Linked DNA regions of Nothobranchius furzeri. The protein of the gene in region 1 interacts with the protein of each later gene in a pairwise test. Links are inferred from orthologs where the notes say so. Each region holds a gene or a part of one and is shown on either strand. Other genes may lie near its edges.

Evidence for each region.
Region 2: the proteins of trim59 (region 1) and vti1b interact in binary tests that used the Homo sapiens proteins (3 or more experiments, as listed by UniProt). The two-hybrid records come from large-scale screens. The link is inferred for Nothobranchius furzeri from reciprocal best matches to the Homo sapiens genes TRIM59 and VTI1B.

Annotation. Positions count from the first base shown.
Region 1 is NC_091753.1:52,625,499-52,630,013, forward strand, and holds the start of trim59 (tripartite motif-containing protein 59), read right to left. Parts: upstream 3,057-4,515; 5' UTR 2,928-3,056; intron 2,869-2,927; exon of another isoform or gene 2,704-2,868; intron 2,333-2,703; 5' UTR 2,278-2,332; coding exon 2,023-2,277; intron 1,950-2,022; coding exon 1,728-1,949; intron 1,645-1,727; coding exon 1,435-1,644; intron 1-1,434. UniProt on the Homo sapiens protein: E3 ubiquitin ligase involved in different processes such as development and immune response. Serves as a negative regulator for innate immune signaling pathways by suppressing RLR-induced activation of IRF3/7 and NF-kappa-B via interaction with adapter ECSIT.
Region 2 is NC_091758.1:18,878,062-18,882,552, forward strand, and holds the start of vti1b (vesicle transport through interaction with t-SNAREs homolog 1B), read right to left. Parts: upstream 2,958-4,491; 5' UTR 2,826-2,957; coding exon 2,729-2,825; intron 2,631-2,728; coding exon 2,572-2,630; intron 1-2,571. UniProt on the Homo sapiens protein: V-SNARE that mediates vesicle transport pathways through interactions with t-SNAREs on the target membrane. These interactions are proposed to mediate aspects of the specificity of vesicle trafficking and to promote fusion of the lipid bilayers.

The DNA.
Region 1 (4,515 bases):
ACTAAATACTTGAATCACAACATCTGACTTCTAACTAACCCTCTGGGGTCCAGGGTGTAATTTGCCGTTTTTCACTAATTTAGAGTTTTCTTTGTATTTCCAAAATAAAAGCCATAACCACTGCCTTTTTCAGCACAGCCTGGACTTTATGAATTTATACTTATTTTTTACATTTGGACATAAAGGGGTTGCATATTAGACCTTAAATCACTCAAAAACATAAAATCCGAATTGGATTATTTTACTGTGAAACCAACAAACATTTATGACGAATGTTTTTTATAATTTAGAATGTTAATCTAGACTGTACATTTATAAAAAATATGAATAAATATGGCAAATAACAAATAAAAAAAATAATATCAGCCCTCTGGGGTCCTGGGTGTAAATCACCGTTTTTGACTCATTTTGGTTTGTCTTTTGTATTTTCTAACAAAAACAATAAATTTTGCCTTATGGGGTATCATTTTTTTCAGAACAACCTGGACTATCTGAATTTATACTTATTTTATTAATTTGGCAATAATGTGCATGCATTTTGGAGTGGGGAGTGGCTCTGTCTCACGCCGCGGAGATCGAGATCTGACAGCTGCGCGGCGCCGCCCACTCCTCTTGTTGGATCTCCGAGGAGCTGGATCTCTGCCTTCATCCTCTACCTCATCATGACCCAACTCTTCTATGAGGAAGGATGGATCTGCCACATCGTCATCAACATCCTCGCTATTTGCTTCAGACTCCGGCTGCGAGTCTCCGTCCACTTCCTCTGCTTCCAGTTCAAAAAACAGCCGAACTGCCTGGTGGACATTTATCCTTCTCACCATCCTTTATATAAGCCTAATAAAAGCCTACTAAACTGCAGAGACAACATATCTGTCCGGATCGCTCCAAAATATGAAGTTTACCATCAATATCTGTCTAACTGTTTGTTGTTACTCCGTTCGCGCCACTCCGTTCCCCGCCAAGCGGCTCCTTTTTGCGCACATCTCGTTACTCGTGCGGCCTTCCTCTCTCTCTCAGCTACATGATGATACTTTTTATCAGTTGAATATGTGAGACTTCCAGCAACAGCAAAAGGATCTCATGTTTTTGTGGGTTTTTTATGTTCACAAGCACATTCCCTCTCACGGATTACTAAACTGCTGTTTGACAAGTTATCAGATTGTCTAAAAAAAGGTCATTTTTTAGTTTAGTTTAACTCCGCTTTTACGTTGCTTATTAACACAATTTAAAAACTGGGGTGTAGTTTATAATCTCCTTTTTAAAGCTGAATTGAAACGGAAACTCAGGGAGGCGGAGTCTTGCTGCTACAGCGTCCCAAATCAGACCTGTTCAAAAGACGCGGATAAGCGTCCACGGACCCCAGAGGGTTGAAGACAAATGAGTCAAAACTTCAAAGCAGCCCTAAGAACTGGGATTGTGGAAGTGTCCACACACCTGAAGCTCCTTGACTCTGTGGATCAGGGGGTCATATGCAAGCGACACCTCTGCAGCAGCTTTATCCAAAGCCTCCAGGTAGGCGTGTTTCTTCCTGGCCAGTATTCCCTCCAGCACAAGAAAAAACTGATCCACTTCCTGTTTGTCCTGCCTCACTAGAGCCTCACAGCGGGCTTTGTCCTGCTCCAGCTGCTCTGCCAGGTCACACACCTAACCAACAGCCACAAGACGTTAGACGTATTAATCAAAACAAAAACGGCACAGAATTCCTGCTCCCAAACCCCGACGCCCACCTGCGCCCATCTCTGCTCCGAAAGTCTGGCGAGCAGCAGCGATGGAGTCTGTTTTTCTTTGATGAAGGCGGCCTGAAGGTCATCTATGGGATGTCCCTGATGCTGCCCGACGGTCAGACACAGACCACAGATCAGCTGCCGATCCTGGATGCAGTACATGTTCAGAGGTTGTCTGTGGTGCTCCTGGCAGGACGGGGGTCGAGGCGCATTGTTCGTCTGGTACTGAAAGTAAAAAGAAACAAGCCCGTCAGAAGGATTTCAGACAAACGGGAACAGACGGGCCAGCCTCTCCTACTTTCTCAATGATGGCCCGCAGGGACACATTGGTGGGCAGAGCATCTACACCCATCGGGGGCAGCTCCACCACGCTGCAACAGTTGGGACACTTTATAGGCAGGCGGAGGGGACGCCAGGTGGAATAGTTGGTGGACACCTGCAGCAGGCTGTCCAGGCAGGTCTTGCAGAAGGTGTGAGAACACGGCAGGACCCGCGGGTCGCAGAACAGAGAGTAGCACACAGAGCACGTCAGGTCCTCCTCAAGGGTCTCCATGACGGATCTAGAGGACTCTGGTGGAACAAAGTCTGTCACTTCTGCAGGATGGTTCCTGTTGGACAAAAATTATAATAATTCACAACAGATAACAAGCTTTATTTGGAATTTACCTAAAGATCTGACTGATTAATGCTCAAAGAATAAAACAAATACCTGAAGGAAACACTACGTGATGTTTCTCATGTCTCATTATTGTTAGTGCTGCTCACACTGGATCAGGATCTTATTACTTATTACAATGACCACCCCCTCTCCTCGTTACACACACACACACACACACACACACACACACACACACACACACACACACACACACACACACACACACACACACACACACACACACACACACACACACACACACACACACACACACACACCAGAGCCCAGAGCCAACAGTGGTGTCTCGGATCAAACCATTACCTGTGGCCTGTGGGATGAGTTTAAAGTGTCCAGATAGTTTGTGCTTCCTTTTTTCTTTCTTTTAGCCCAAAACTGGCACTCTCACGCGGCGGGGAGGCTTAAAGACTACTTTAAAAGCAACATTCGTAAATTTGATCAACTATTGCGATACACAGTCTTTTTCTCGTGAGGTGACACGACGCAAATCACCTTAAAATCCGTCTTCCCGAAGTTTTTAGACTCACCGCGGTTCTGCTCGGCCGTGTAGCGTTTGTCCCAAACAGCTTTCATTTCCCCTGATGGTGCTGCCTTCAGGTGCATCCAGTAAAGTCCAGCAACACGAGCTTAAACAGGAAATAAAACGTCTCACCTCATTTCTGGTAAAGCTGTCTAGTACTTTATTAGTTTTTGGGACCAGAATAGTTTAAGATGCAACTTCTCTTGCCACCGTAAGATTTTACTTTTGGAAAAAAAAGTCTTCCATTGTAAAATGTGGAAGTTTTAGTTTTCCGGTAGTTCCTAACGCACAGTTTCTCGTTCTGCTTGTGCGCATGCGCTCGATCTGTTGCTCAGGCCAATCAGGTCGCGTCGTTTTCCAGTTTAAATTCAGGCCCAACAATTAGGAGAAAGGGAGGCGTCAGGAGGAAAATGCACTAGAGGATTAATTATACTTCATTTCACAACAGAACTGTCTCTCTCACTCACTCTCTCTCCCACACACACACACACTTTTGGGTTTGTGTTTCACTATTTATTTTTCTTAAAGACAACTTAGCCGGTAGCCAACATCCCCTGAAAGGTTTTATAGGCTTTTTCTATTCCTTCCAGGTCATAATTTTTGATTTGAAACCACTTTGCTAACAAGGAATGCTGCAAAAAAATAAAATAAAACAAAAAAGTACCCCTATGTTCAACAAAAGGTTTTGAGCACAATGTGTAATCATCACTAGTGTTTGAAGTGAACAGAAAAATAAACATGAGGGTAAGCTTGTACACTTAGCTTGTAGGAGCAAAAAAGGGCTAAAGACTCTGCAAGGTACTACAATTACAGCAAACCTGTTCATGGGTTTATTTACGATTCAGGAAACCCCCATTAGAACATCTCCAGTCTGACGCATGGGACACCTTTGACCGTGAACAGGGAGGTTAAATCCCCTTCCAGTGAAGCTGAGATACATTAGATTCACTACCGCTGCTCCTGAAATAAACTCATTATTGTCTCGAGTATCACTAAATGTTATCATTGGATCATTCCAGAAAACACAGACTGTGGCTGAGTGATGCTTAAATGTAAGGGTGTCTGGGCAGGTCAAAACATATTAAACCCACCAGCAGCAACACCTTCAGAAAGACTTCAGGCCTCACTTTGCAATACATGTGCAAAACAATAATTATTTAGCAAACCGGACAACAGTGAGGAGTCAGGGAAAGGGAAACATGTAACATTTAAGCACAGCTTTACTTAAAATAAAAAAATTACACTGTATTCACAGCCTAAGGGAACTAAAATACCCTAAAAAATAACTGTGCTGTTGTTTAGTACATGCAAAGGGGAGGATTCACAATTCTACGCAGGATGGCCGTGGTTTTCCTCTCCTGTGGTTATGAAAGCTGCTGCAGCCGTACTGCAAAAGCAGTGGTGTTGCTGTAAAGGCTGAGGAACGTGGTTTTGTGAGAGGAACGGGTCATTTGGTTGACTGGTGATGGAGGGGGGGGGGGGGGGGGGTCAAACTTTCACAGCATCAAGCCCATGTCAGGTGTTCAGGATAGGGTCTGGGCAGAAGGATGGAATATGATCGTTCACCTTTACAGAAGCAGTGAAACTAAAAGCTG
Region 2 (4,491 bases), on another chromosome or scaffold:
GAGTATGTCACATTCATTGTCCAGTAGCATGCGGAGATCATTTGAAAGACAACGGTTGAACCTGCCCCACAACTGAGAGCCATAATTAGAGCGTTGCCAGACTAAATAATACAATTAATAATACTACTTATCTTTGGCATTCAGACATCAATTCTGATTGCTTCACAGCCGGACAGGACACCGTAAAAAAATAAATAAAAAGACAACAGCAGCTCCAACAATCACTCGTTCCTCCCAAGGTCTGCAGAACAGCATCTCTGAACCACAACATGATGATGCCTGAAGCAGATCCAGCAGCAGAAAACCACATCAATGTGTCTCTCCTGTCAGCTAAGAAAAGGATACTGAGGCTTCAATTCATCTGGTGTCACCAACATGAAAGCATGGGTCCATTCTGTCTTGCATCAATGCTTTAAGCTGCTGCTGGTGGCATTCTTGTCCCACTTTGGACCCCTTAGTACCAGCTGAGCCTAGTTTAAGTACCACAACCTTGTTGCTGACCATACATGTCTATCACTTTATGACCACATGGACCCATTTTTTGATACTACTTCAAGCACGATCATGCACCATGTCACAAAGCTCAGAGCATCTCTAACTGGTTTCTAGAACATGACGATGAGTTCACTGGACAAAAACGGCCTCCACGGTCACCAGATCTCAGTCCAGAACTTATGGAATGTGGTGGAGTAGGAGGTTTTCCTTATGAACAGAGCTGTGTGATGTTATGTTAATATGGACCAGAACTTCTAAGGAAAGTTTCCAACATCTTGTTGGATCAATGACATGAAGAGAGAAGGTAGTTCTGATCTAACCCTGCAGATACAAGGTGTACCGAATAAAGTTGGCAGTGTGAGGCACGTATTTAAGCATCTTCCTCTGTGTTTTTAACACTGAAGTTTAATAGACTTTTGATTTAATGATTACTGCACTACCTCTCTGCTTAAAGTGTAAAGCTGCGTTTTTACCAGGCCCCCACAATGTGGCTTTAAATTTGAGGCCAACCCGGAAGTAAGAGAAATTGCAGTTCCACCCTCATCCGCTGGGGGCTGGTGTCAGAAACGAGCAAATCCTCATTGACTCCCATGTTAAAAATGCCAATTTCACAGCAGAAATAAACATGTTTACAGCCTGGTACCAAAACATGTTTTTTGTTTAAATGATCTAGTTTATACTCATGACAACTCTGAGGGGGGTGAATTTTTTTTCTCACTCTTCTGTTTAAGTGTATTAAAAGCCTAAAATTCTGTATAATTAATGAGCATCCGACACACGTGACCACAGAGCTAGCTCCGTGGAAAGGCCTCAGTAGAGCCTCAGTCTGGCTTGGAAACTGTTCCGGGATTTTGAGTCTCTGTGTTTGTGTATTCTTTTTTGGATATTTTTTGTGCAATTGTTGGACAAAATGACTTGCTGTGGCATTAATTGCACTAATAGAGCGTCCAAGGAGTCTCCACTTCATTTTTTTCGGTAAGTAAAATTATATTTATGTATTTTAGGTCACTGCCAAGCTGAGCTTAGATTTTAACATGTACTGTTTAACCATGAAATTTAAATGTAATAGGGTAAAACCCAGTGCATTTAACACAATGCTGCACTTTAGAAAATGGGTTGAAATATAACATGTTGGTGGAGCTGGGTTCCGACTATCGGCTTGTGGAGCTCTCGGGAGACCGATGTTTTCCACCCAGAATGCCGGCTGTTTCTCCCCGCAGCCTGGTCCATCTCTGTCTGATCGCGGCTCCTGTTAGCTGCGCGGGCTAACGGCTGGTTCTCCCAGCAGCTCGGCGCATCGCTGTCTGATCGCGGCTTCTGTGTGCTGCGGCGGGCTGACGGCTGGTTCTTATGGCAAGCCAGAACCGCCAAAATACGCCACTTCTCCCCGCAGCTCGGCGCATCTGTCTGATCGCAGCTTCTGTTTGCTGCAGCGAGCTGACGGCTGGTTCTCCCAGCAGCTCGACGCATCTGTCTGATCGCGGCTTCTGTGTACTGTGCGGCTGCCGGCTTGTGGAGGTCTCCGAGACCTCTGGGTTCCACCGTATTTTACCCAGCGGTCAGCCCGGCGTACCTCTGACTCAGAAGCTCTGGTGTTGTGCACAGTTAACTCCAGTTGTAGCTAGGTTGCTACCTCCGATAGCTTAGCTCCCACATCCGCATTAGCTTTGGGTTAGCTTCAGGTTAGCTTGTAGATAGCTCGACCGGGTGTTGTCAGTTGATCCCAGCCTTACAGCCCCACCCTCAGCTCCTCCTCTCTTCCCTTTTGTGGAATTGTCTGGGCTTGACGGAACCTGTGACACGGTCAAAATGGCGGTGGTGGCCACCTCCCATTTAGCCTCAAAAACGTGTTATTGGAGTCTATGGAAACCCATTGTCCATATATTAATGTCGATGGTTTTTACACACAAGATGCATTCAGCTACATTAGCTTTAGCATCACAGCCAGTCATTGTACTTATGTTGATGTTTTGCGGTAATAATTACAGCAAACTCTTGGCCTTATTTATAACACTCACTGTTAATAAATAACAAACAGAAACAAGTGAAGATGTTGACGTAAACAAACGTTTTTACCACTTCATCAGCTTCCCCCTGTCTCTCATCGAAGGTCCTCACCAGTCTCTTCCTCTCCTCTGCATTAGGAACAGAACAAGTTCGAGGTTTAAACCAAGAAGGTTTTGTTATTTGACACTTAAACGAGGTTAAATGAGGGAACAACGGGTTTATTTACCTCCGGTACAGCTGAGAGCCTTCTCTGGGATTAGCTTTAGCTCGTCATACAAGGATCTGTAGATTTCGTGTAACTTCTCAAATTCTTCCGACGACATTTTCCGTCAATGTAATCTCGCTGTCTGTCATAAAAAGGCCACCTGTACCTTTTTCTTTAAAGGACGGAACGAACTACACAAGTGGATCAACTGCTTGTGCTTCGATGAGACTCTTCCGCTGCCGCATGACGACTCTCGTGACCAAGTGCCTAAACTTTACAACATTGCTACAAATTTGAAGTATTCACATGCTAAACGTTCGGTGAAATTTATTTCAATACTGAAGATGAATGTGACAATACCATCAATATGCTTAACACTATTTAAATGTCTTACAAGTTATTTTAACGTATTTTATTCAGGCACGAAGGTAGACAGCTTTAAACGGTCTCTGGGAACTGTAGTTTTTCCGCTAATTCTTCTAAAAAAGATTTGAAACATTTGTTAAAAGACAACTGAAACATCATAAAATAAGATAAACTATTACTAGTCACTACAATATTAAATAAAAATGAACGAAGTTTATATTAGTGTGCATTTACTTTGTCTGTTTACATTATTTTCTAGCCAGGCTATTTCCTAAAACAATAATGGGCCTAAATTATAGATACATTATAATAATAATCAATTTTGTACAGAATTATTGTTTTATAAATTATTTACTATTTAGATACAAGGCTACCTATAAAGAATAGCAAGATACCTGGATGATGTCCCGATTGAAACACCTTTGGTTGACGTGGTTCTGACTGCCATATGCGTCGCTCAAAAAACTATCCTCATGAATTGGAAAAATAGAGATACTCTTTGCATTAACCAGTATATAAATCTTTTGTTGGATCATATTACACTTGAGACAGCCTCTTCTTCCACTTCAAATCAATCTATATGGGCTCCTTTGATCGGTTCCATCACATAGAGGTGATTGTGTGTGTGTGTGTGTGTGTGGGGGGGGGGGGGGGGTTGTCATTGATACTGTCCTGCGGGATGATGTGGGTGATGGGGTGGAGGGTCTGCGCTTGCAGTATCCGGACGTTCCTTGGAGGTGGATTCACTGGGGGTGTCTGGGGCTGGGGGGCTGCTGTCCCACTCTGGAGGCGCTTGGGTTGCCTCGAGGGGTGGATTACTGGCGGTTGTGAGTGGAGCCCCTTGGGGGGTCTTGACGGTGGCGATGGGTTGCTGCCTGGTGGCTGCATCACCCCTGAGTGGGTCTGGGTGGGGGCCTGGGGGCTAAGGGTGTGGGGGTAGCTGGCCCCCATGTGGGGATCTGGGCGGGGCCTTGGGGATTGGCTCCTAACTTGTATGCTGCTGGGAAGAAGGCGGGAACACACGGCGGTGCCTGGCCCAGGCTCAGGGGCCTCAGGTGGACCTTGGCTCCTCTGAAATAATAACAATTCTGTCACATCACGGGGGAGGGGGTTGTCCAGGAGGGGGAGGACCCAACCTTACCTGATGTCTTATGTCTTACATATTCTGGAAGTTGTGCAAATGCAGGGATGGGAGTAGATATTCTGCTGGGGTGGGGCTGGGTTGGTGCCCTCGGACTCCGTAGGGCTCTGCGATGCTGCTGCTTTGGGCCCTGGCTAGGTGGGCTGGGGTCTCCATGCCCTGGGTGGCATTTTGGGAACAGAGGTGCCTATTGGGGCCAGTGGAGGAGCTAGCTCCCTGGAGGGCTTAGGCCAATCAACCATTCCTCCACATCCCCATACATTTTTTTTTCCTCCTG